Linked DNA regions of Schizosaccharomyces pombe. The main gene of each other region encodes a partner of the protein of the gene in region 2 in a complex. Each region holds a gene or a part of one and is shown on either strand. Other genes may lie near its edges. The genes, in order: mrpl28, mrpl20, mrpl32 and rtc6.

The links.
Region 1: mrpl20 (region 2) and mrpl28 share a complex: the UniProt entries of both Schizosaccharomyces pombe proteins name them as parts of the mitochondrial large ribosomal subunit.
Region 3: mrpl20 (region 2) and mrpl32 share a complex: the UniProt entries of both Schizosaccharomyces pombe proteins name them as parts of the mitochondrial large ribosomal subunit.
Region 4: mrpl20 (region 2) and rtc6 share a complex: the UniProt entries of both Schizosaccharomyces pombe proteins name them as parts of the mitochondrial large ribosomal subunit.

The regions. Positions count from the first base shown.
Region 1 is NC_003424.3:2,666,404-2,672,375, reverse strand, and holds mrpl28 (mitochondrial 54S ribosomal protein mL40), read right to left. Parts: upstream 2,726-5,972; 5' UTR 2,564-2,725; coding exon 2,207-2,563; 3' UTR 2,008-2,206; downstream 1-2,007. Other genes in the region: SBDS family ribosome maturation protein Sdo1, read left to right, coding at 1-205; Brix domain-containing protein Rpf1, read left to right, coding at 927-1,847; mrps12 (mitochondrial 37S ribosomal protein uS12m), read left to right, coding at 3,554-4,042; hxk2 (hexokinase 2), read right to left, coding at 5,193-5,972. UniProt on the Schizosaccharomyces pombe protein: Involved in mitochondrial genome encoded proteins translation.
Region 2 is NC_003421.2:818,007-825,135, forward strand, and holds mrpl20 (mitochondrial 54S ribosomal protein mL58), read left to right. Parts: upstream 1-3,288; 5' UTR 3,289-3,637; coding exon 3,638-4,231; 3' UTR 4,232-5,471; downstream 5,472-7,129. Other genes in the region: Cu(2+) transporter complex subunit Ctr4, read left to right, coding at 453-1,322; telomere cap complex subunit Ten1, read right to left, coding at 1,843-2,151; SPOM_SPCC1393.12 (uncharacterized protein), read left to right, coding at 5,673-5,999; duf89 (cobalt/nickel-dependent phosphatase), read left to right, coding at 7,099-7,129. UniProt on the Schizosaccharomyces pombe protein: Component of the mitochondrial ribosome (mitoribosome), a dedicated translation machinery responsible for the synthesis of mitochondrial genome-encoded proteins, including at least some of the essential transmembrane subunits of the mitochondrial respiratory chain.
Region 3 is NC_003423.3:3,904,564-3,910,580, reverse strand, and holds mrpl32 (mitochondrial 54S ribosomal protein bL32m), read right to left. Parts: upstream 2,730-6,017; 5' UTR 2,444-2,729; coding exon 2,132-2,443; 3' UTR 1,850-2,131; downstream 1-1,849. Other genes in the region: SPOM_SPBC1604.12 (uncharacterized protein), read left to right, coding at 1-1,688; PAK-like kinase Shk1, read right to left, coding at 3,523-5,499. UniProt on the Schizosaccharomyces pombe protein: Component of the mitochondrial ribosome (mitoribosome), a dedicated translation machinery responsible for the synthesis of mitochondrial genome-encoded proteins, including at least some of the essential transmembrane subunits of the mitochondrial respiratory chain.
Region 4 is NC_003423.3:1,518,089-1,522,343, forward strand, and holds rtc6 (mitochondrial 54S ribosomal protein bL36m), read right to left. Parts: upstream 2,403-4,255; coding exon 2,124-2,402; 3' UTR 1,942-2,123; downstream 1-1,941. Other genes in the region: RNA-binding protein Yme2, read left to right, coding at 1-1,901; Lid2 complex histone demethylase H3-K36 subunit Jmj3, read left to right, coding at 3,183-3,299, 3,356-4,255. UniProt on the Schizosaccharomyces pombe protein: Component of the mitochondrial ribosome (mitoribosome), a dedicated translation machinery responsible for the synthesis of mitochondrial genome-encoded proteins, including at least some of the essential transmembrane subunits of the mitochondrial respiratory chain.

The DNA.
Region 1 (5,972 bases), on a different chromosome or scaffold from region 2:
GGTGGATGTCAAACAGGGAAAAGCTTTACGAGAGCGTTTACGCTCTTTAGCTGATGAAATTGAAGAAGAAAACATTGATGATGAATATGAGTGCATAGCTCTCGTGATTCCAGGGAATTATAAGTTGATAGATGAACTTGTCCGAAATGAGACCAAAAACCGAGGTATGGTTCAAGTACTCGACATGAGCGAGGCTAGGACTTAAAAAGGTATACAAATAACCTTTCTGAAAATACGCTCTATATGAATTCCCTAATCTGTTTTCCTCCTCCTTTTTGCTTACATTGTTCATTGGCTTTTGGTTTTGAAAAATTTTGCTATTAAAAGACACGTTCTGATTCGTTCTGGTTATCCAGAACATTATTTAATTTATCAATATAGCAATTCAGTTCAGAAGAAAGTAAAAAGAAAGTAAAGAAATGAAATTAAAAGACTATCGTCCCTTTCATTTCTGCTAGTTCCATTCAAAGCACGCATTCAAATGTGAAAATGAAAGTAGCGTGAGTGATTTGTAGAATGTTGAACCCTTACCACAATGCTTTCAGTTGTTCAACAATTTAATGATGAGGATATCTATAGTGTACGATTTCGGATTGTAATATCACCTATTTACAAACAGTAATTGTAACTAAAGTATACATTTTGCTTAACAGCAGTGTGATATAATACTGCGTTAATACTTTTAAGCAAATTTGACGAAATTCGTAGCATGTTCTTCAGATTCGGTATTTTGCGACATGGAATTGGATTGTGCAATAAGTTTTTGAGACTTCAAACCCATCGTATACTTTTTTTTAACTCTCTTTTATTTGTACTTAAGTTGCTCATTCTTATCTCAATTTTTTTTAGTTGCAATTTTTTGTAAGGATTTAAATTATTTCATTCTTAAATTTTAAATTTTGAGAGATTATACGCAACTTATTAAAATGGGGAAGATTAAAAACAAAATTGTCCGCCAACAGCAGTATATGAAGGCTCTTCATCAAAAAAATAAGGACAAGCTTGAAAGAAGAAAAGAACGTGCTAAAGAAGAAGAAAAAGACCCGGAAAAGAAGAGATTGCGACTTTCAGAAAATATTCCCGCTACTATTGAATCGAAACGAGTTTATGATGAAACTATCATAGAGGATAAACCCGATGAGGAACTTCAGGCGGAGTTAAAAGATGATGAGTTTTCTGCATACTTTAGTGAAGAAAGGAAAGTTCCGAAACTTTTGGTAACCACGAGTAAACGAGCCTCTAGAAAATGCTATGATTTTGCATCTGAGCTTTTAGATTGTTTTCCTAATGCTGAATTTCGAAAAAGAACCGGAGATATTGAAGTTCATGAAATCGCAGAAGCCGCTGCTAAGCGTGGTTACACCGATTTACTGGTATTAAATGAGGATCGTAAAAAAACAAATGCATTAACCCTTGTACACTTACCGAATGGCCCTTCGTTCTATTTTACCTTATCGAATCTCCAAACAGCAAAGGAAATTTCAAATCATGGCCGCTCCACTGGTCATATTCCAGAACTGATAATCAACAATTTCTCAACGAGACTTGGTATGACTGTTGCTCGAGCCTTTCAATCATTATTTATTCAAACGCCTCAAATTCAAGGGCGACAAGTTGTTACCATCCATTGTCAAAGAGATTTTCTTTTTTTTCGAAGACACCGTTATGCATTTCGTGAAAAATCGAATATGCCAGATGGTATTGGAACTGGGCTACAAGAATTAGGTCCTCGATTTACCATGCGTCTTCGTATGGTTCAAAAAGGAGTATGGGATAGGAAAGAAGGGGAGGTTTTCTTCGAGAGCAATGCCGGTGAAGAATCAGATAGACGTAAATTCTGGCTTTAAAGACATTTTGTCTCATCTGCGACACGTTGTAAAAAGAAAACAGTGTTTGGGTCATATTTTATTGTTTTCGAGGTAGGGTTTGGGTTTGGTAACAATTCTAAATTTTTGGTTAAAAAAGAAAGCATGGCCTTTCATTTTGTATCATTCGTTTACGGTGAAATTGGGAATGAATAATATGATACATGTAGACTAGAAACTAGGAGACATAATTCTTTAATTCAATTATTGGTTTATTTAAAAATCCTAATTAGATTATACTTGCTCGTAATTAGTGATACATTTTTTTATATACTTGAACTTGTCTATAACACTTTCGAGCACTACCGAAGATATTAATTATACTCATAAAAGGCGCTCGCCTATTTAGAAAGCCGTGGTGGTGTGTCCGTAGGAGTCCTCGTTTCTACGGGGAACCTCCTGTTAATTGAATCGCTCATTGCGGCTTTATATAATGTTTCACTCGTATGCTTCAGTTCCTCGCAAGCAATTTTCATTGCAGAGAATTGGTTTTTTAGAAGATTCTCTCTTTGTTTTTCTTGTCGATATTCGTGTATACGCCAAGCGCGATTAATAACTTCGTGTTTTTCCCACATGTCTGGATTCATTTTCAAAGACCTGACTTTTTTATTTCCGTAAAGAGCTTTTCTAACCAAATCGATTGACTCACTATGATTAGAAGGACCAGATTGGTGCTTTCCCTTTGAGGCCTTAGCCATTAATTGTAACGTAGAACGCATCTGCCAAAAAACTTTTCAACACAAACTAAAGTACTCCTTGAATTTTTTCACGTTGATAGAAAAAAATTTAATTTTCAAAAGTATTAACATAAAACCTTCCTTTAAAAGCTAAAAAACCTGAGTAGAGAAAAATGCGGTAGTAGTAAACGTGTTCAGTGGTATGAAGCTAATTAAGAGAGTAAGTCGTGATACACTAGGAAAAGCCACCAGTACGATATTTCAAAAAAAGAAGTGTTTCATCAAATCCCCTTCAATTTCACACACTGATAAAAAAAATATAGATTATAATTCGGAGTTCATTTAATTGTTTCTGAATTTTCAGTAGCTAAGCCAAACAAAGCATATGCATTTATGGAGATATGTAACCAAACGAAGACATTTAACAAGTAGAAAATATTAAGTTTTAAGTCAAAGCTTTATATGGAGTAGGCCTGATGCTCAATTTTTCTGCTAAGTTTCATGTAAGTAGTCAAACACATTGATAAATCCATATCAGTGTTTAAAGTTTTAATGAATGGATAAGTTATTGTAATAAATACTATCATCAACTGAAAATGGCATGGCAAAACGAAGCTTAAACCTCAATACAATCTACTTCCAGTACGTTTTTCAGTAGAAGTCATGAATTAAGTTGATTTTTTCAGCTTAACACTGTACTGTAAATTTGTCGATTAGCATACCTACATTCTGCATCTGTTTTAGACTAGTCCATTAAAGTTCAATTCCTAGAGGAAAAAATATTTAATACGCTAGTTATACCCAAAAATGTTTGTCAAAATATAAAAGAATAAATTTTTGTATCCCATCGAATAATATGAATGCTGCGAGATATTCTATTCCAAGGCAATATACATACACTAACACCAAACCAGCGACGTTCGGGTACAAACTTCGGAATTCCTTGCTCAAGCATCTATTATAGTGATTTTTGAGATTTTATACAGCTCAAATATTAAATTTCCCCAAATAATGATCCGTTTTGCTCAATATGCTCGATATCCGGTAATTTCAAGGTTGATGAAGCCAACAGTTATTTCACCATTTCAGGCTCAAGCGTTTTCTAGCTCTTCAGTTATGTTAAAGACATTAAATCAAACGATAAGAAATAAAGAGAAACGTCCTGAAAAAACAAATAAGCAATCTGTTGCTTTAGAGGGAAGTCCGTTTCGACGGGGTGTGTGCACGAGGGTCTTTACAGTAAAACCCAAAAAACCTAATTCGGCAGTAAGAAAGGTTGCCCGTGTACGCCTTTCAACCGGCCGTTCTGTTACTGCTTACATTCCAGGTATCGGTCATAATGCACAGGAGCATGCTGTGGTATTGTTAAGAGGCGGCAGAGCACAGGATTGTCCAGGAGTCCAATATCATGTTGTTCGGGGTGTCTATGACATTGCTGGTGTAGCGGGACGTGTCACATCCCGAAGCAAGTATGGAGTAAAAAAACCGAAAGCAGCCTAAACTTCATGACCTCAAAGACTTTCTTTTTCGAAAACCATGATATTCAGAAACGTTATCTTTATAATTATTCCACCTCCTCTTTTGATATCGATTCACAAGGACCTTATTAAAATGACTGAAACAAAAATTTAAATGAGAAAAAAGTTGAGTCAACCCATTTGTCATTTCTCGCAACCTTGCTTCTTGTTGCAACTATACATATTCAATAATCATTTACTCTTGCATGTTTAATAAGCAATTTTTTAGTTGAACTACATCCCCTTTAAACATACAATCATCAAAAAAAGGTAAAAAAGATTGTGTAATTAGGCAATTTCCAGTTATCTAAAAAATTAGCAAATAGATAATCCTTTTGGTTAAAATTTAACCAAATCTATCTAAACAATGATTTATTAAAATGAGGAGGATTTTCTTTTGAGAAATCCTTTTGGAAAGTTTTCTACTTTTTTGATATAAGCTCTTTAAATAAATTTTAAACTTGAGACGCTTTCAATTTTTAATTTGTTCAATTTGGTTTTACTACCGTGCTATTTAATTTTTAACTCTTGAATAAAGTATAAAAAACACCTTTTGGGTGTTGGAAAACGCTTTCCGGTTCTTATTTATATAGTATGCAGTATTGCTAGCACAACTTCACCGTTCAACGTTGCAGAAAAATTTACTAAACGATGAGAAAAATATTTTTTAACAAATCTTGGTTAATTGGATTTCTTGAAAGAAAAAGAAGATTTTATCTTGAACCCGAATAATTCATAAATTTGAGATAATAGGGTATGATGAATCTTATTTTTTACAAACTCAGATTAAAAAAAATCAAATTTCTTTTTGTTAGAATCAATTTACACACACATCTTTGAGATGTCCTGTAATGTTTGTAAATTCCGTACTCTTTTTTGGAATGTTAACAAAATCGTAACAAATTTAATAACAATACACAACCACAATTTTGTTTTAAAGAGACATATAACATCAATCACAACATGCTTTTTAATTCATCTGATATTCAATCTTCATACTATTAACTAATTCCAGGAAATAAATTCACTTTCAAAAAAAACATCTTAACTAAAAGCTGTTAAAAAGCAATTTCATATTTACATGCTCATTTCTACGTACAATTCAAAAAAAGCTAACAGACATCTAACATGATTTAGGCCAAGCCTTTCTTTTCCTTAACAGCTTGGAGGGCGCAAAGAGCGGCACCAATACCACTGCCATCCTTGGCAATACCAATGGAAATCAATTTTTCGTTATCACCGATAAGCTCACGCAAGGCTTCACGGAGCATGTCAACAAAGTGAGGATAGTGTTCGACTAAAGAACCATCAACACCAACATCACTCTTCTTACCAGCGCGGCCGGTAGAAAGATACAAAGAAGCAATGGGAACGGCAGACATACGAGCAGCACGACGGCCAATTGCATGAGCAGCATCCCAAAGGTACAAAGCCTCTTCGTCGCTGCGGAAACGGAACTTGAATGTACTAAGAACGTTACGAACATTCTCAGCAGAACGTTCAACCATCATTCTGGAAAGAACAGAAGTTTCCAAAGACCAAGCATCAGTAATGGAAGGAGGGAAAATACCTTCGTTGAAGTTGTAAACCTTGATCAAGTGGAATAAGGCACGGCGGAAAAGCTCACCGAGATACATACCACCAACGCGCTTCTCAAAGATTTGACGACCAGCATTGGGAGTATCATGATCAAGAAGTAAATCATAACGAGTGGAGTGAAGGCAAGAGAAATCAGTTGCTCCCCATTCCATGTTGATAAGCATATGATCACCAGTACACTTGCCAGCAAGCTTGGGAATTTGGTTCATTTGCTCGACGTAAGCACCGTTGGTACCGGTTCCGAAAATGATACCCATAAAGGTGTCGCTCTCCTTTGAAGTATAAGCACGGGTAACGAGAGTACCGACGGTATC
Region 2 (7,129 bases):
GGTTAGTTTAATCGTTTAAATTCAGTTTATTTACTTGTAATTTTTCATATTGGTCGAAAAATTGGTTTTTTTTAGCAAAATATAGAAACAGAATATTTTCTTTGAAATCTGTATAAATTCAATTTGCTCTTCAATTCGTTGAGATTCTGCCCATTGATTGCCGAAATTTCGTTCATTTTATAATTGTGTTTTCTTTCTTTTCTTGTCTCTCATTTTCTTTTTCTTCCTTTTGATATTCATTTCTCCATTGTGTTTCGTAGGGTTAATTTTCATCTGCATATATTCTGTTTTCTTGTTTTTTAAGAACAAAAATTTTTCATCTAAATATATAATTGTCAAAGTTAGTAAGATACTGGTCTTCCCTAATCTTCAAGTTTTCTTTTAACTCTTTCGTCCTTTTTTTCTAAAACTCATTTACTACTCTTCTGGTTTTTTATTTTTCCCTAGAAGTCATGTCTTTCTTCTCCGCTGCAAAGCAAAGTCTGGGTAATTCCCTCATTAAGTTAGGAACATCTATGGCTCAAAATTCCCAAGGCCCTGTAGATGACTCTAGCTTGTCTCAATTGGAGAATTTGCTCCCACCTTTGCAAATTTTGACTGCTAGAGCCGCTATGGCTGCTATGAACATGTCGAATGATACATCCATGTCTGGAATGAACATGACCAACAGTACGACACCCATGTCTGGAATGAACATGACCAATAGTACAACATCCATGTCTGGAATGAACATGTCCAACAGCACAACATCCATGTCTGGCATGAATATGACTAATACCACTACAACCGCAAAGGCTTCTTCTTGTAAATTATCCATGTATTGGAACTGGTATACTATCGATGCTTGCTTTATTACCAAACATTGGCATATCACCAGTAAGCATATGTTTGTCGGTAGTATTTTCGGAATTATCTTCATGATGATGGCATTGGAATTGGTCCGTCGCGGACAAAGAGAGTTCGATCGTTGGTGTGTCCGTAGATTTTCTCCCGCTAGCAATTCCTGCTGTCATTCGGGTGCCCCTGTTCATTCTGGTCCAAGCATGGCCCTTCGAATCTTTCTTCATTTTCTTCGGTCCTGCTTTTATCTAGTCCAGTATATTGTCGCGTATATCGCAATGTTACTCGCAATGTATTATAATGGCTATGTAATTTTATTTCTCTTTTGTGGCACCTTCTTTGGCTATTTCCTGTTTGGTGCGGATACCATCTCTACTAAGGCCTCTTCATCTGTTCAAACGAAAACGATCGTTCAAGTCGCCGACGAAAAACACGAACATGATTCCAGTCAATATTCAGACACAACACCTACAACCGAATAGCTTGATTATCTCTAAATTTGGTTTAGTATTCCCAATTTCATGCACCTCACTCATTTTCAGTGCTGAAGCGTCTGATTAATCATAATCGTCTTCGCTTTAATTTCTTTCGCACAGTCACTGATAGTTTGGAAGAGGATTCTTTGATGAATGTTGAAGCCACATATTACATGTCCATGTTGGAAAGACAAAACAAATTCTGGTAATTTGTCTTAAGTTTTTACAAAGTAATAAAAGTTTCAACAAAAATAAATAGATGCCACAAGGTAACGCTTATCTTTGTTAGTTAAACATTCAAATTAGAGTATATAGCAATTTGAACAGATGTAATTCGTTCCTTTTTTTTTTTAACCATGATTGTTTGTTTTCGACTTTGAACCTGGAGGTTAATAAATATTTATTATTATAAAGACTGACATTAACACGATTCAGTACCTTTATGGTATCTTAAGGTGATCACTTTCTATATATTTTTAAATGAGTTTGTAATGACATGGTGCAACAGAACTACATAAGATATTCATCAATCACATTTTTGACGTTCAGAAACCATTTGTCGATATCTCGGAAGATTAATTCCAACAGCAGATCGTATTAACAAGACATCCACAATACCATCCTGCCGCTTTCTCCCAACAATGTTGAGCCACTCATGCTTTTGAATAGATACATCAGGTAAAACTACTGTAACATCACAAGTCACGCTGCTTGATCCATCAATCAACCGTAGAATGCCATTCTTATATGATTGCACGCATCCTAAAAATCGAAGTTTTTGGCCGTCCTTACAATCGTTAATTTGATTAATGAAGATAAGTTTAGCACTATCCATCAGCTGCTAAATATATTGTAAAAAGGAGAACAAGGAAAGATGAGGGAAGGTGGTATAGTTTGTGTTTGGAAACTGGGTAATCGATTGAAATATGAATTTCGTAAATGAGCGACTTAAGATCGCAGCTTTAATTAAGAAAACGTAGTTTGACTTTTTCAAAAGGAAAAATTTGCATTAATCCTTAAAATGTGCAGAAAGACTACACTCTCGTTTGCAATAGTAAAAGCAAAATCTAATAATCGTATAGTACTATCAGTGAGGCATATTAGATTGATAAATAGACCAACATTTCCATTATTATTATTTATGAATTGGTTTACTTGAGCAACTCCACAAAAAACGCAAGCATGGTTCTTTTGATTAGTTTTTATAAATTAAGTCAGATGGAATATAAAAAGAGAAAAATAAATGCTTTGGCCGGGAATCGAACCCGGGTCGAATCGATGGCAACGATTCATTATACCACTAAACCACCAAAGCTTCTTGAAATATCTTGTAAACTTGTATAATATAAGTAGCTATTAACGATAACGATAATTATTTATTATACCATTATAATATTGATTAAAATCAAGCAGAGAATTGGAAACATGTTCTGATGTAGTTGTTTAAGGCCTTATAAGAAATCAATAGTTCTTGTAATAAATTCCGATTTTAGTTATAGGGCCAATGCGGCTAATATTCACTTGATAAATTGAAGCTGACTGTAAACAAAAGGTTACCCCTTACTTAACCATTTGATATTATAATTTACATTGCAAAAAATTTGGGTCAGTTTGAAAAGGTGTGTACATTTCCTAAAAATCTATGGAAAATTGAAAAAAATAAAATAAATTTAATTTAATATTTAAAATATCATGCTTCCAGTATTCAATATAATCGGTATTTAAATTGAACCATGAACAGATTAGAAATGGTTTAAAAAAAAAACAGCAAAACAAAATTGTATTGAATTTATCCTACAATCAAAATGCCGTTAACAATATTTTTTAGCTTGAATCTTCCGATTTCTCTTAATAAACCGTCAAAGTGCCAAAAACCAGTTTTAATATAACGAATTATATAATATACATTTAAGGTGCCATAAACACACTGCATTATACGTATTGAAACTAAGAGTGTGGATACTGTGCATATAGAGACTGCTAAACTCCAGGAAACCCGCATTTGGAGAGTAATTTCGTGTTTTTACTCGGAAAATTGCAAGCCTTAATACGATTCTTGTAAATTCAAAAGTTAGAACTCTTCCAAGTGATTTTTTGCGTGTTTTTTTGCTGTTTATTTTTTTTTTGCATTGAGCTCTTTTGTCACGTCGTTGCTATAGCTTTTAGGCTTTGAGAATCTTCGTTATAACTAATATTATTTGAAGTGTGGGTTTATCCAAAAGGCCCTTTACAGTTTTTTGTGTTATAACCTTTTCTCAAAAAAATTTAAAGCATCATTTCTAAAGCGACACCAAAATTAAAATAGTTGAAAGAGTAAAAACATGTTGTTTACAATCAAACCTTCATTTTTGAAGCCTGTAGGCTTCATTCAGACTCGGAATTTGAACCGGCTATACCCTAAACAACGTATTCCTAAGCGACCTAAAATTCCTATGGGTTCCAAAATAGCAGAGGTAACTGAAACTACATCTGCTTATTACAATCCACCAGCGTCTTCTCCAGATGTTAGGATTACTCCTCCTGTTTTTCGCTATGATGCACCTCCAATTCATCAGCGTGATACCTCACTTTCCAAAGAGTCAATGTTTCTCCCGCCGGCAGTTAGCCGAAAATCGAAAAGCAAAGGAAAGTTGAGGTTTTCTACTCATCAACTGAGTAGTGAAGATATCAAATCCATCCAAGACTTGAGGACGAAAGATCCGAATGCTTGGACAACTGGAACACTGTCTAAAAAGTTTAACACAACTCGGTTACTAATTTCACGAGTTTGTGAAGCTCCCAAAGAAAGGATTCAAAAAGTTGAAGAAAATTTTGAGGCTGAAAAACTTGCCTGGGGATCAAAGAAGCGTGAAATTCGCCGACAACGTGCATCTCGTCAAGCATTCCGTACATTGGAACGAGTAGCACAGGTTTAAAATAATTTAATAGTTTTTGGGATTCTAAAACTCTGGTTTTCAATAAAGCTCTGATGCACATGCGGAAGCGTTTTTGACTGCATTATTTAATGTTTCAATCACGTTACAAAATACTCGAGTGATTTGAAAGTTCCTTGGAAAATAATATTAGTTTTGAAGCTTTTCAAAAAAAACAGACATCTTCATTCTTCTTTATTTCTTAATTTACAAAGGCTCTCTGGCATTTTACGAATTATCCTTTACATTTCTATCAACATTTACGCACATTGGTCTGCATATCGCGAATTTTTGTCGCAACCTTTAAAATGTTATTATACAGGCACGAACTTGTTTTACATTTTTACCTCTCCCTTCTCATGTACATATTTCCTTTTTGGAACAAATGAGGAAATTTTTCATTTCAGCTTAGTAGGCTCGGAAATCCTCAATCATAGAGTATGTTGCTTTTGTAACACTCAAGCCAGTTTTTTTTTTTTTTTGGTTTTATCTTTTAACTATTACTGAGAATATACAATGGTGTACATAATTAATTGGGTCAGCGAGCAGTAAAAAAACATCTTTATTTCCTCTTGTACAGAGAGCCCTTTCGTTCAAACCTCAAGTGGTGAAAATAAAGATATTTTTTCGGCTTTTAAGCAGTTGCTATTTAAGATTTCCAATCGACATCAACCGTTTATAAACACTCACGAGATACTTACTTTTGCAAGTTTCCTCACCAGCCATCATCCATCCATCTCCTTAGGACAATTTGCATTCTACGGATTTCATTAATACATCCATCTCTAGCTACTATTTACTTATATTAAAGCTTTGTTTCGCCGTTTTCTACTTTTTTGAAGCTTGTGTGACTATACGTGCTCTTCTTTGTTGGCCCAATTTTCCAACGATCGTCTAAAGAAACATGCGACCTAGTTGAGGAATTTTGCTTTAAGACATTGTTTTTACAGACTCTAACAAGCTTAATTTGTATGGTGGACACAGCTTTGTTGTAATACTGCATACTGCGATTCTCAAATCCTACACTCCTCTCTCCTCTTCTCTCCTTGTTACTTAGTACCTCGAGAAGTTTTGGGGTGACATCAGTCAGACACAAGAATTATATGATGGGTGGGTGGGTTAATACGTATATGAATGATCTCATTTACGTTGCCGTATTGTGCTACTAAAAGTGTTATATATAGAGCAGTGGGAAGTAGAAGTGAGCACTCTTATTAACGATAAAGTTGTGAGTTGAACAAAAGCGACTTACTACTTTGAAATATTGTTTTACTTTACAATTGAACATTTACTAGTGTTCAGGAAAAATCTAATTTTTTTTCGTGCGCTCGATTGAATATTATATCAATCCTTTGTGTTGTACGGAGAAAACCGCTTTTATATAACCTTTCGATTTATTAATTTTTTTTTACTCGGTTAATTCACGAAATCCTAATCGAGCATCATGAATAGGCGTGTTACTCTTGGAGCCTTGGCCGCTGCTGTTGGTGTTGGTTATTATATGACTCGCCATAATCGTCAGGCATCTTCCAGATTGGAACAGAAGAATGCAGAAATCGTCAGAGCCGTGGAAAATGAGGGTCAACGATTTGACAAAGCTGTTGGCGAAACCACTGAAAAGGCAAAATCTTATCTCCAAAGTGGGAAGGAGAGGGTTGTCGATGAACTCGACAAACCTCGTGAAAACGTAAAAAATGTGTTGTCAGAGGCGCAAGCCAAGGGTACTGAACAAGCAGAAGCCCTTAAAAAGGGTACCTCAAAATGGTTTTAAATTGGAAATCCCCAATTCTCGCCATTTAGGGTTATGTGGCAATACTTTGAAAAAATACACACAGGGTTTGTTGTGTATTTGAAAACGTAAAGTGCCTAGCATTGGCTCGTTCTATACCTGCTATCCATTAAGTGTTCTTGTTAATTGTTCCAAACGTATTGCCAAACATTCCGGATCACATCTCGGCAAAGTCGGAGAGATTAAACGTTGTTAACGTTATTCTTTTTTATGTTATTATTAGTTTCTTCTCTCATAAACCAACTGAACCCAAATGATTAGCGATGACAAACAAACGACGATTCCATGGGTTGTCAAAAACACCCTCATAGAAGTTTGCTTTTTTTTGTACAGATAAAAGCGAATTTTTAATTGAAATAATGTTTTTCATGAACGCATAAATGAATGATTGAAATTTTTACATGCATGATTTTCCATTATAGACTGTAAAATGATATTTAAAGTAAGCGATGTGGACTAAGAGTAGTGATAATGCATATGAATACATGCATAGTTTGGATATTATAGGTTTTTCCTAGTTTCCATTATTAAAAAAATAAAAGATTGAAAGGAGTGTTTTGCTTTAATCTGCTCTAGTAGACAGAGTCAAAATTGATATATTTAATAATATTCAAGATGAAGAGATAGAACTCATCAAGTTCGCTTAGATATAACCTTAGCTTACGCGAAAGATGAGAATACTGTAATGCATAGTTTTTTGTTAATTTGAGACAACGAGAGGTATGGAAAATGCCCCTCAGGTGAATTCTCTAAATAAGCTAAAAAGTCAAACGCAAAAAAATGCATTATGCCGGTTTATAGAAGATAAACTTTTTTTTGCTGACAAATATTACGATGGAATTGTCGTTTTGACATTTCTTAGCCGTCGTACCTAATGCTTCTGACTGCTAATCAAGCTCTAAAAAAGCGCAGTTCGTTATACTTCTCTATCCCGTTTTCACCTTCATGACAAGTCCTGCGTATGTATGCATTCTACCATCTTCCATTATTCGCACTTGGGCGTACTCAGCTAAGCTGGTTTTGGCGTATTCATAAACGTGTCTATCCTTCAACAGGAAAATAGGTACCTGAAGAAAATAAGATGGGTCTCAAATTACTTCATCCTCCTAAAC
Region 3 (6,017 bases), on a different chromosome or scaffold from region 2:
CAGAAGAAGTATCTCCTACAAGACTTCCTTCTCCAACCAGTGCTCGCCGAGCATCTCACTTATCAGAAGGTAAATGGGATGAAATTGACGACGAAGACGATGACGATTGGGGAAGCACAATTGAATTTGAGGATGGAACTACTGTCGTGATTGATGCGAAAACGAGGAGGTATGAGCCAGTGAAACGTCAAGACACTCTTGCTTCAAATCATGTCCCTTCTGCACCCTCGAATGAATCTGTATCTTCTGCGGCTCCATCCAAAATCCCTGTTCCAGAAGAAGCTAGTATTAATGAACACTCTAATATTACAGATGAGGCCGTTTCACTGCCTGAACCTGTTTACCCTAATGCTCCAACTAGCGCTGTATCTGTGCATAACCCCACGATTTCTGATGAAGCTGAACCAACTGAAAGGGCATTTCTGAAGAAAGAAAAACCTCAAATATCAAAGGAGAAGAAAAACCCTAATGTCACTCATGAGGAATTTGTTGAAAAATCTACGGCATTGCCAAGACATATCAATAAAGTAGAAATCGTCAGCGATTCAAGTGAAAGTTTTGCCCACAAAAATAATGAAAAACGTTTTGACAAAGAAGCTTCTGGTCGTATCAACGACCTTCGCGCAGAGCAACAGCAAATTATGCTCGAAGCTCGCCAGAAAGCAATTGAAAGGCGGAGGAATGAAGAAGAAGAACTTGCTCGATCACGAGAACGAGCCCGTAAAAAAGCTGAAGAAATAAAGATATCATCATCAAAGATGAATTCCTCACCCACTATTACTAATGAGCGGTCTTCCAATGTCGAGTCTAGCAAAAAAGTTGAAGCAATATACACTAAAGAGCCTCAGTCTATTACCAATAGTCCCGAAGGACTACATAGTAACCAAGAGACAACAGAAATTGATCCTTCTAGCCCCAGAGATGATTCTACTCCGCTTTCATGGAGAAGTCATAGTCATCCAATTCCTCCTGTTCAAGTCTCGCCTTTATTTACGTCGGATAAAAATGATCCTTTACAGTTGAATCCCCAATCTGATGATAGTACTTCTTCCCCGAAACATGGAAAGTCTCGGAGTATTGATGAAGTTATTTTAAGTATAAAGGATGTCATTTTTGACAATAACTTATATAAACAGAGATCCTATCAAAGTGGGGTGGCCGCAAATGCTCATTTACCCCATCGTGTCCCCAACGAACATGGAGGAGTTTCACGCATTGGCAATTCTAATGCTCTCGGTCAACCTGTTTCTTCATCCTCTTCTTACAGCCACTCCAAAGGTCGTGATACCAGAAGTAGTAGTTATGTAGTATCCTCGGAAACGAGCTCTTTAAAATCATCGAGATTGATACTTAGTCATGCAAATTCTGTTCGAATTCAGCGATCGAAGGGCGATGTTATTTTGAATTTACATTTGCCTAAAGTGAACCCGGAGCGGTTTCTTCCTACTAAATCATTAAAATTAGAGGAAATGAAACCATTAGAGGAGAAGGTTCCTATATACCGCTCATCTTCCAAACAACCCCTTCGAATTCATCCTACTCATCCACTGCGTGTAACTGTTTGTCTTCCAGGTAGCAAGACAATTCAAGTGGCTCGTCGCTCTTTTCGTAATTCAATGAACGCTAATCGTTATGATCCTCAACGCCGAGAACGAATTGATTCCGGTTTATGGAGGGCGAAAAACTAGCTTGGTTTTTTCTTATTGTTATCGTTTATGTATACTTTACATGAGATTATAGTCTCTTTTGTGTTTTCGATGCATTTAATATTATTTACACGCTTACAACATAAACGTGTATTGAAAAAGGATGAAAGCTAAGAGATATATTCAGCTTTTTTGTTATTTTTTCACTCTAAATTCTTTTGCATAATATATGATATTTATACTCAACCGTACATAGTCAACAAATAAAATTAAGTAAAAAAATTCTTTGTTATACGCGTATTTTTAAAAAGGGTGTAGTTCATTAATCGTAATACTGAAAAAATTTAAGTAGTGCGAGCAGATTCAATTCACTAACTGCAATACTATTACATGAAACAACCTTATATTTAATGTTAAGTCCATTTTTTTTCTTAAAATAAAGATTTGCAGCATCACTAAATCAGTGAAGAAATGCTTAATGCCCTTCATTCGTTAAATTCTCGACGAATATTTCTAAAACAGTGAGAACATAAATGATGTGCCAATTTAAAAGACCCGCAAATAGGACAACGATTAACTGTTTTGTCTTTTAATGCTTTTCCGGACAGTAAGCGACTTCGTTTCTTAGTATAAGAAGTTTTTTTCTTTGGAACAGCAAGCAAAATGGAATTCCATATATTAGCTATTGAAGGGGGGGAAATAAATATCCTCAAAGAAATATGAGGAAGGGCGCTAGCTTGAAAAACTGATAACATTTTTTGGCTAATTGCCAAAGAATTTCCTCTTAAAAGAGCCATTTTCGACCCAAGCGCGAACAGTAGAATATTGTTGGGTACAGTAATGCTGAACAATATTTTAAAAGTTTTCTCAAGGTAAGGCGAACTTAGTTACTGCAGAACTTGATCTTAATTATATAGTTATAAAACGATGCATATAGCCGTTTTCTAAAACCAGTAGACCCAATCACAGATAGATTTACGATCTCCGAGAAAAGAGTTTGAAATAATTGGAAGTCGTCAAAAGGAAACTTAAAGACCAGTTACTTTGGTTTCGAGACAATGCTTAAGAAGTAGGCTGCTGCCTAAATCTATAGTCTGCTGTTGAGTAGTAATAACCCATGTATAACGAGACTCCTCAAATTCACTATTGCTTTGGCTTGACATTTAAATGCTAAGTGCGCTCTCTCTTTATTAAGTCTCGCAGTTTAATGTTGACAATTTTCTTAAGCTCATGAACTACGCTACAATCATAGTCCATTTAATTATTTGAAGTTTTCTACGTATTTGTACTAATTTTAGTAGATCAAAAATTTTGTGAAATATTCCAGCAGGCGTTTCACTTTGAGATTCCACATAATTGAAATTGAAACATCGCTTTAAAAGATTCAAACCTATTTTGACTGATTCAAGATCAATCTCAGAATCATGTACTTACATTTTGAATACTTTGATAAGTTAGTCTTCCTTTTAGTTTTTTTATAATGCATTGCGAATATTAAAAAGTTGAGACTTTTAGAAAGAAGCATTGTCTCATTTATTATAAAAATTATCCAAGTGTCACTGAGATCATTCTTGGCAGTAAGAAAAAAACAAAAAAAAAGGAACAGATAAGTAAAGTATGCACTAGAAAAAGGAATTAAAGTAAAGCAAAAAAGTAGTTAAAATGTACTCTGTTTGAATCTGCCCAACCTGCGGATATGGATTTTAGTGGAGGAGGCAAAAAAATAAACTCAGGTACATATATTCTAACGAACTGCAAAAGCATATTAACGATAAATAAACAATGTGAGAAGAAACAGTTTTTAAGCAAACGTTGGAGGATATTCCGAAACTTCTAACAGCAGATGTTTACTCAAAAACTTTTTTGACAAGTTAGCCTATTTACCAGAATGATGTATGGATTTTATCAAAGGGATAAGGGATGAAACTGGAACGGCTTGCTTAAGAAACGGATGCCTTAAAAGCTCACCGGAGCTAGGGCGTTGCTTAGGATTAACAGTTAAAGATTTAGAAAGAAAATCATGGAAAACAGAACTTAACAATTCTGGCCGACTAATCTTTGGAGTACCAATAGTAGCAATTAAATATAGAGCACGTAAAGGATTTTCGTTTAAATACGGGGGCTCTCCCTCTACCATCTCTATAGCCATAATACCAAGACTCCAGACATCAACTTTGAAACCATATTCCTTTCTAGTAACGACTTCTGGAGCCATCCAATATGGAGTACCAACCATCGTCGTTCGTTTCGTCATGTTACTGTCGATCTGAGCACAAAACCCAAAATCGGTAAGTTTAATATCTCCTTGAAGTGAGAGAAGGATATTGTCTGATTTTATGTCACGGTGAACAATGCCATTTTCATGGAGATGCTGTAAGCCTTCCAACGTTTCCTTACATATTGCAGCTATCTGACCTTCTGAAAGAGTGTTATTGGTAACCACTTCAGTAAGACTGCCACCGCGCATGTATTCCATTACCATCCACAACTCTGATTTATAGAAGAAAGTGTCAATAAAATTGACAATGTTTTTGTGATGATGTGACTTCATCACGAGTATTTCATTGACAATAAATTCCTTTTTTGGCTGTTGATTAATGTTCATTTTCTTGATGGCAACAGAAAGATTAGTGCCGACTTGGCGAGCAGAATACACATCACCAGAAGCACCTTGACCAATTTTAACAAAATTTCGATATAAAAGTGTTGGATTTTTGGGATTGCATATAGACTGTAACTTTGCCAATACAGCAGAATCATTGGATTGTTGTCGAGGTGCACGCTTTTGAAGTCGAGGGGCACTTGGTGCTTCCACTTTTTGAGGAGTCGCAACAGCTTTCGGTTTGGTGCTAGTCTCGGCTCTCCGTTGATATGGTGTCGAGTTATTCGGACGGATATGTTTCGTTTCAGATGTACTTAAGGTTTGAGGCGTTAACAAAACAGGGGAATGACTTCGGATTATATTATCGGTTGACTTGCTGGAAACTAATGGAGAAGGTTGTCGAGAAGCATTAGAGGTAGTAGTTTTAACTGTTTGTGATGATAATAAAGGAGACGATGAAGAACTTGCAGGAGGCGTGGGAGCAGGTCGAGAAGGATACAAACGAGAAGATGAGCTTGTAGCAGAGGTGGGTTGAAGATGAGAACTACTAGACAACGCTGAAACGGAGAGTAAAGGCTTCTCAGTACTTTCACGGGGAAAGGGTGGCTTTGCTCCCTCCTCAAGATATTTCTTGGATTGGGAATAAAAAGCCATAGCGTCCAAAACGGCCTGTGGATGTTGTACTTGTTCCGACTTTGTAATGCCACTGACTTTTAGTAGTGCCTGCCATTCAGTAGGCATTCCAGTAAATTCCCCAGTATCATAATTAAAACCAACGTGAGTGACATGCTTCGGATCAAATGGAGAAGAGATGACAGTCGATTTGCGAGGGCTGGCAGAGCCTGACCCATAGGAACTTGTAGGACTGCTACCACCCCCAGTTAAGAACGAACTCATGCTCGAGACAAAGTTTTCAAACGCAGACTTCTTTTGGTTCCTTTCATCATATGAACGCACATCAGAAACATTAGTCTGAAGTTTTCTAATGGAACTGCTACTATGCTGACGAGAACCAAGTGAAACCCTAGATACAGTTGTACGGGATTGAGATAAAGGGAAACCGGAAAAGGTGTCTTCAGCAAGATTAGTATTTATAGCTGGAGGCTTTGGAGCTGTCCTGCTGGGCTTCAGTTTTCTCAAATCATCTTCTACTTCATAACGTACAGGTTCACCAGTTTTATGAGCAACAATAGGGGTTATTCCATAGCCATTTGGAGCCTTCTTTCGAGGTTGTAAAGTCCCTCTTTCCATAGTAAATAAATTTATTAACGAAAAGGGTAAAGAAAAACAGAAATAGGACTATGGCAAATGTGTTGCAGAACGAAGGAATAAGTTTCAGTATGCAAAAAAAAAACAAAAAGACAAGAATAGAGCACTTAAGTTGAAAAGGATTTTTCTCCTAGTAAGAGGCGCAAAGGGCACAGTAACTTGTGCCGCTGCCACTTTTATGAGGAATCAGTTGTACAGATTAACAACCGAAAAGGAAACTTTTGAAATAGATCCTTTTCAAAAAGAAAAGAATATCAAAGAATCTACTCAATTGACTAAATCTCTATAAATGATAAACTAGAACACGAAGGTCGCGTCAGCACTGTTTACTTGGATAATTTTCTTGATAGTTTAATGTATAGTTCTAAATTAAACAAAACTTATAAGACTTCGGTGGTATACTCGCTGGCGCATAAAGAAGTATAAAGTAGGTTACTGGGTTGTTGGTGAAGATCAAGTTCTAAGCGTAGGGTTGAATGCTACTATCACTTCAGTAGCAA
Region 4 (4,255 bases), on a different chromosome or scaffold from region 2:
CTACCCCGATTCCACACATGGTACATGGTATTCCTTGGCTTCAAGATTTATATATATTTCCATCTCGTACAGTAGATGTGAATTTCGAAGGTCCGCCCCTTTCCCAGGAAAGATTGTATAGTATTTTTAGGACATATGGAAAACTAAGATCCGTGACCATTAATTCACCTACTTCTGCTACTTTGAGTTTTTCATCGCTAAGGTCCGCTACGTCAGCTTTAAACTGTATGCATGGTTTTGTTTATGGGAAAACAGAATTCCACATGCGATACAGACATATGAACCGCTTTGTCGCCTTCAAAGACTGGTTATTCTCTCATCCTCGTTTTACTATTCCTTTGGTTGCGGCGGCTATTACAGTTTTAACGGCTTCTTTATTCGATCCGATAAGAAAGTTCTTTGTCGAGACAAACATTGTACATGGTCAGAAGTTGAGAAATATCAATGTTGTTGGGTGGGTCAAAAAGAAAACTCGCGATATAGTTTTGAGTCCCTTTCACGAAAATGGTACAAATATAAAGGCACCGATTTGGACAACACGTGAAAAGGATTGTGAACAGTTGAAAGAATGGTTGGATGAAGCATTACATTCTTTTATTGTTGTTCAAGGTCCTCGTGGTAGTGGTAAGCGTGATCTGGTAGATCGAGTTGTTAAAGAACGAAAAAATGTTTTGTTTTTCGACTGTGATCGCTTATTCTCCACTACTAATACGGAAATGTTCGTAAGTACTCTTGCTAGCCAAACGGGGTATTTCCCCCTCTTTAGCTTCCTAAACAACATATCGTCACTTATCGATATGGCTGCACAAGGTCTCATAGGACAAAAAACGGGAATTGTTTCTTCTAGTGAAGGACAAGTGCGGCAAATTCTTAACACAACACAAACGGTATTGCGTTCTCTAGCATTACGAGAGCATAAAGAAGCCGATACTAGTGTGTTGGATGAATCTGAGTTTTTAGAAGTTCATGCAGATCGCTTACCTGTTGTTATTCTCGACAATTTCCAGCTTCGTAAATTATCAAACCCGATGCAGAGAGTGGTTGCTGAATGGGCTGGTAATTTGGTAAAGGAAGGAATTGCTCATGTACTAATGCTAACACCCGATGTTGGAGGCACCAAGTCATTAGAGCAATATGTCAACGGTTGGGAAAATAGAACATTGTTATTAGGAGATGCTGACCCTGTACTTGCTCAGCGATATGTCATAGAGTCTTTACCCGAAGAGATGCAAACAGAAGAATTGAGGAAAGAATTGCGGGTCCAATTACCGAAGATTGGTGGCCGACTTCGTGATCTTGATTATGTAGCTCGTAGGTTGCGGGTTAATTCTTCCAGTGTTTCTGAAGCAATTGGCGGTATTGTAAGTCAAAATGCCTCTGATATTTTGCAAACATTTTTACGGCCTGCTTCTTTAACCAGTGAGGAGAAGCCAACGTTCACTCCAGAAGAGTCATGGACCTTAATTACTTATTTATCTCAACATGAATATATACCCTATCATATGTTGATGCTTGACCCACTGTTCAAAGGACACGACGATGCCGTTCGTGCCTTGGAAGAATCAGAATTGATTACTATTACCACAGTGAATGCAAGACCGGATAAAGTCTACGCTGGAAAACCTGTATATGTTACGGCTTTCCGGCAACTTGTAAATGATCCAGTATTAAGTGCTAATATGCAGTTGGTGAGATGTAACGCGTTAATTGGCATGGCTAACAATGCTATCAAGAATGATGAACAGGAGCTACAAATGCTAAAGGACCTTGGGAACCTTGAATCAGGTGTGAAGGATCGTGCTCATTACTTAACGACGCGTATCCAGAAAAATCAAGGTGTTATTACTGATAATGAGAAAAGTATAGAAAGGCTTACTGAGGCTTTGAAAAAAATCGACTAAGATGCGAAAGCATATCATTTAAGATTACGTATGTTTTTATGAATTCTTTAGCATGAAGCTATAATGTCAACAATAATATCACATTTAATGACTACGCATTAACGAGAGAGAAGGGAGTAAGGATTTGGTAGGTAGTCCAAAAATCGTCGTAATATGAAGTGAGCGTAATGAAGAATTAGCCTAGGTAGAAAAAAAAAGAAGAAGCGAAACCGGTTATAGTCATTAACCTTGACGGGTTTTATGTCTCGGATGTTTTTTGCATAGTACATACAACCTACCTTTGCGACGCACAAAATAGCAGGATGAACAACGCTTTTTTACTGATGCTTTCACTTTGAAACCTCTTGAAAAGTTCCAAGGTAGAAGGCTAGGAGAAAGTCTGAAAGCAGGGGTTAAGAACATAGATGCATTTTTTAACAACCCTTTTTGTGCATTAAAAGCAGAAGGGAAGACTCGTGACAAAACACCCACAGCAAAAAATTTACGACCTAATGAAGCCATTATAAGTTAAAAAAAAAGTGAAACTGGGACTTCAAGTCAAGATGTTTAAATTTTTTTGGATCCGAAGTAATTCTGAGCTAAATAAATGATGTACGATGGAAAAGTGTTCACAATTTGGACTGAGCCAAAAAAGAACGATAATAGAAAATGCCTATCAACAAGAGAAGATTTTCATAAAAAAAAAAGGTGAATACTAAGTTATATAAACTCGCTTACGCCCGATTTGTTGGATATTCTTTGTTGGGAAAATAAATAGTAGTTAGTGCTTCTAGTAAGCTAACCTACGACATGTCAGTTAGTGACAACCAACATGTCTTGTTATTCTATAAATTCAATAGCCAGCTTACTGTGGAGCAATTTGACCTGAAATTTATCACATTATTTTAAAATAAGGAATACTTTTATTAAAGTGGAGTCAACTCAACAGTGTAGCTCCATTTTTTGTTTACAAATGAAAATTTTAATGTTGAGTCTCTGACCTTCTTAGTCCCTAAAATAGCTAATTGACCGCATCATCTAATAACTTTGATTCTACGTTATTTGGTTTGGCATGCTAATCGATTAATTTGAAATGATCAATTTTTGAGAATTTGTTTATGTTTTTAGTTGCTGGTATAACGAGTTCGTTATACTTTGCTAATTTGGGTATGGAACTGGAGTGCAGATGCGTCATTTGCCTTGGTAAAAGATTGTTAAAGGAAAATTTAGCAAATCCCACGAATTGGTGGATGTCTCAAAAACACCAAAATATTCAATCCAAAGGCTGAAAAATAGATTGCTATGCAGCAAAATGTTAAAGAGAAACATGCTGGCAAAAGTGACACATCAGTGAGTTCTTTGGAGTGTGAAATCGATTATCATATCGAAGGGTCAGATGGCATACCTGTTGTGGAACCAGTAAGTTTACGCGAAAAATATTAAATATTTTGTGGATGTTAACAAAATTTGTTTAGAAAATTTCAGAATTTGTAGATATGGAAAGTTTTATTCGGCGCGTTGAAAGGCTTGGCAAGAAATACGGCGCAATTAAAGTTGTTCGTCCTAGTTCTGTTTTAAATCCTTGGAACGAAGATACAATGAAACCTTCCGATGTAAAAATGGATTTATGGTTAGAGCGAATGGTGAGACGGAAAGGAGAGTACTTCGAGATTCAAAGCGATATAGACCATGGCTCGGCTGGTCCTAAAAAGCCTACCGATATGAATGTCGACGACAGGTTTCCTTCAAACGCTGGAAGTTCTAATGACTTTGAAAACAATGTGGCTAAAGCTATTGCATATTATTGGCGTTCTTTGACCCATGACAGTCTGTGGTATGGATATACTAATCGCCCATCGATCCCCTTCTATTTTATACCTTCGATATCTGCTGCTCAAAAAGATAGGGTACATTTAAGATCGAATACATTGATTAACACTTGGCCAAATGTTGGTCACTTATTTGCTGGGAAATGGAAAACTACCCTTCCTTGGCGGGTAGAATCTCCTGAGCTGCATGCAGTTCAGGTACATTTAGGTGGCTCTTCATTGCAATGGTATGTGATACCTTCAGCACATAGTGAGTCTTTTAAAAAATTAGCTGGAAAGCTTGCGCAAGATGAGCATTGGCGTTGTTCAGATTTTTTGCTTCACCAGAATATTTTGTTTCCCCCTTCAACTCTAGTACAAAATGGTATTGTTACTTATTCAACAGTCCTTAAACAGGATGAACTGCTTATAACCTTTCCAGGCACACATCATAGTGCATTTTGTCTAGGAGACGCTGTTTTACGACGTTTTGTCTTTCGTTCACCAAGATCTGCTTCCAACTATGAATTTTCTAATTTACGAAGACTTATGGTTTCAGAATCCCTT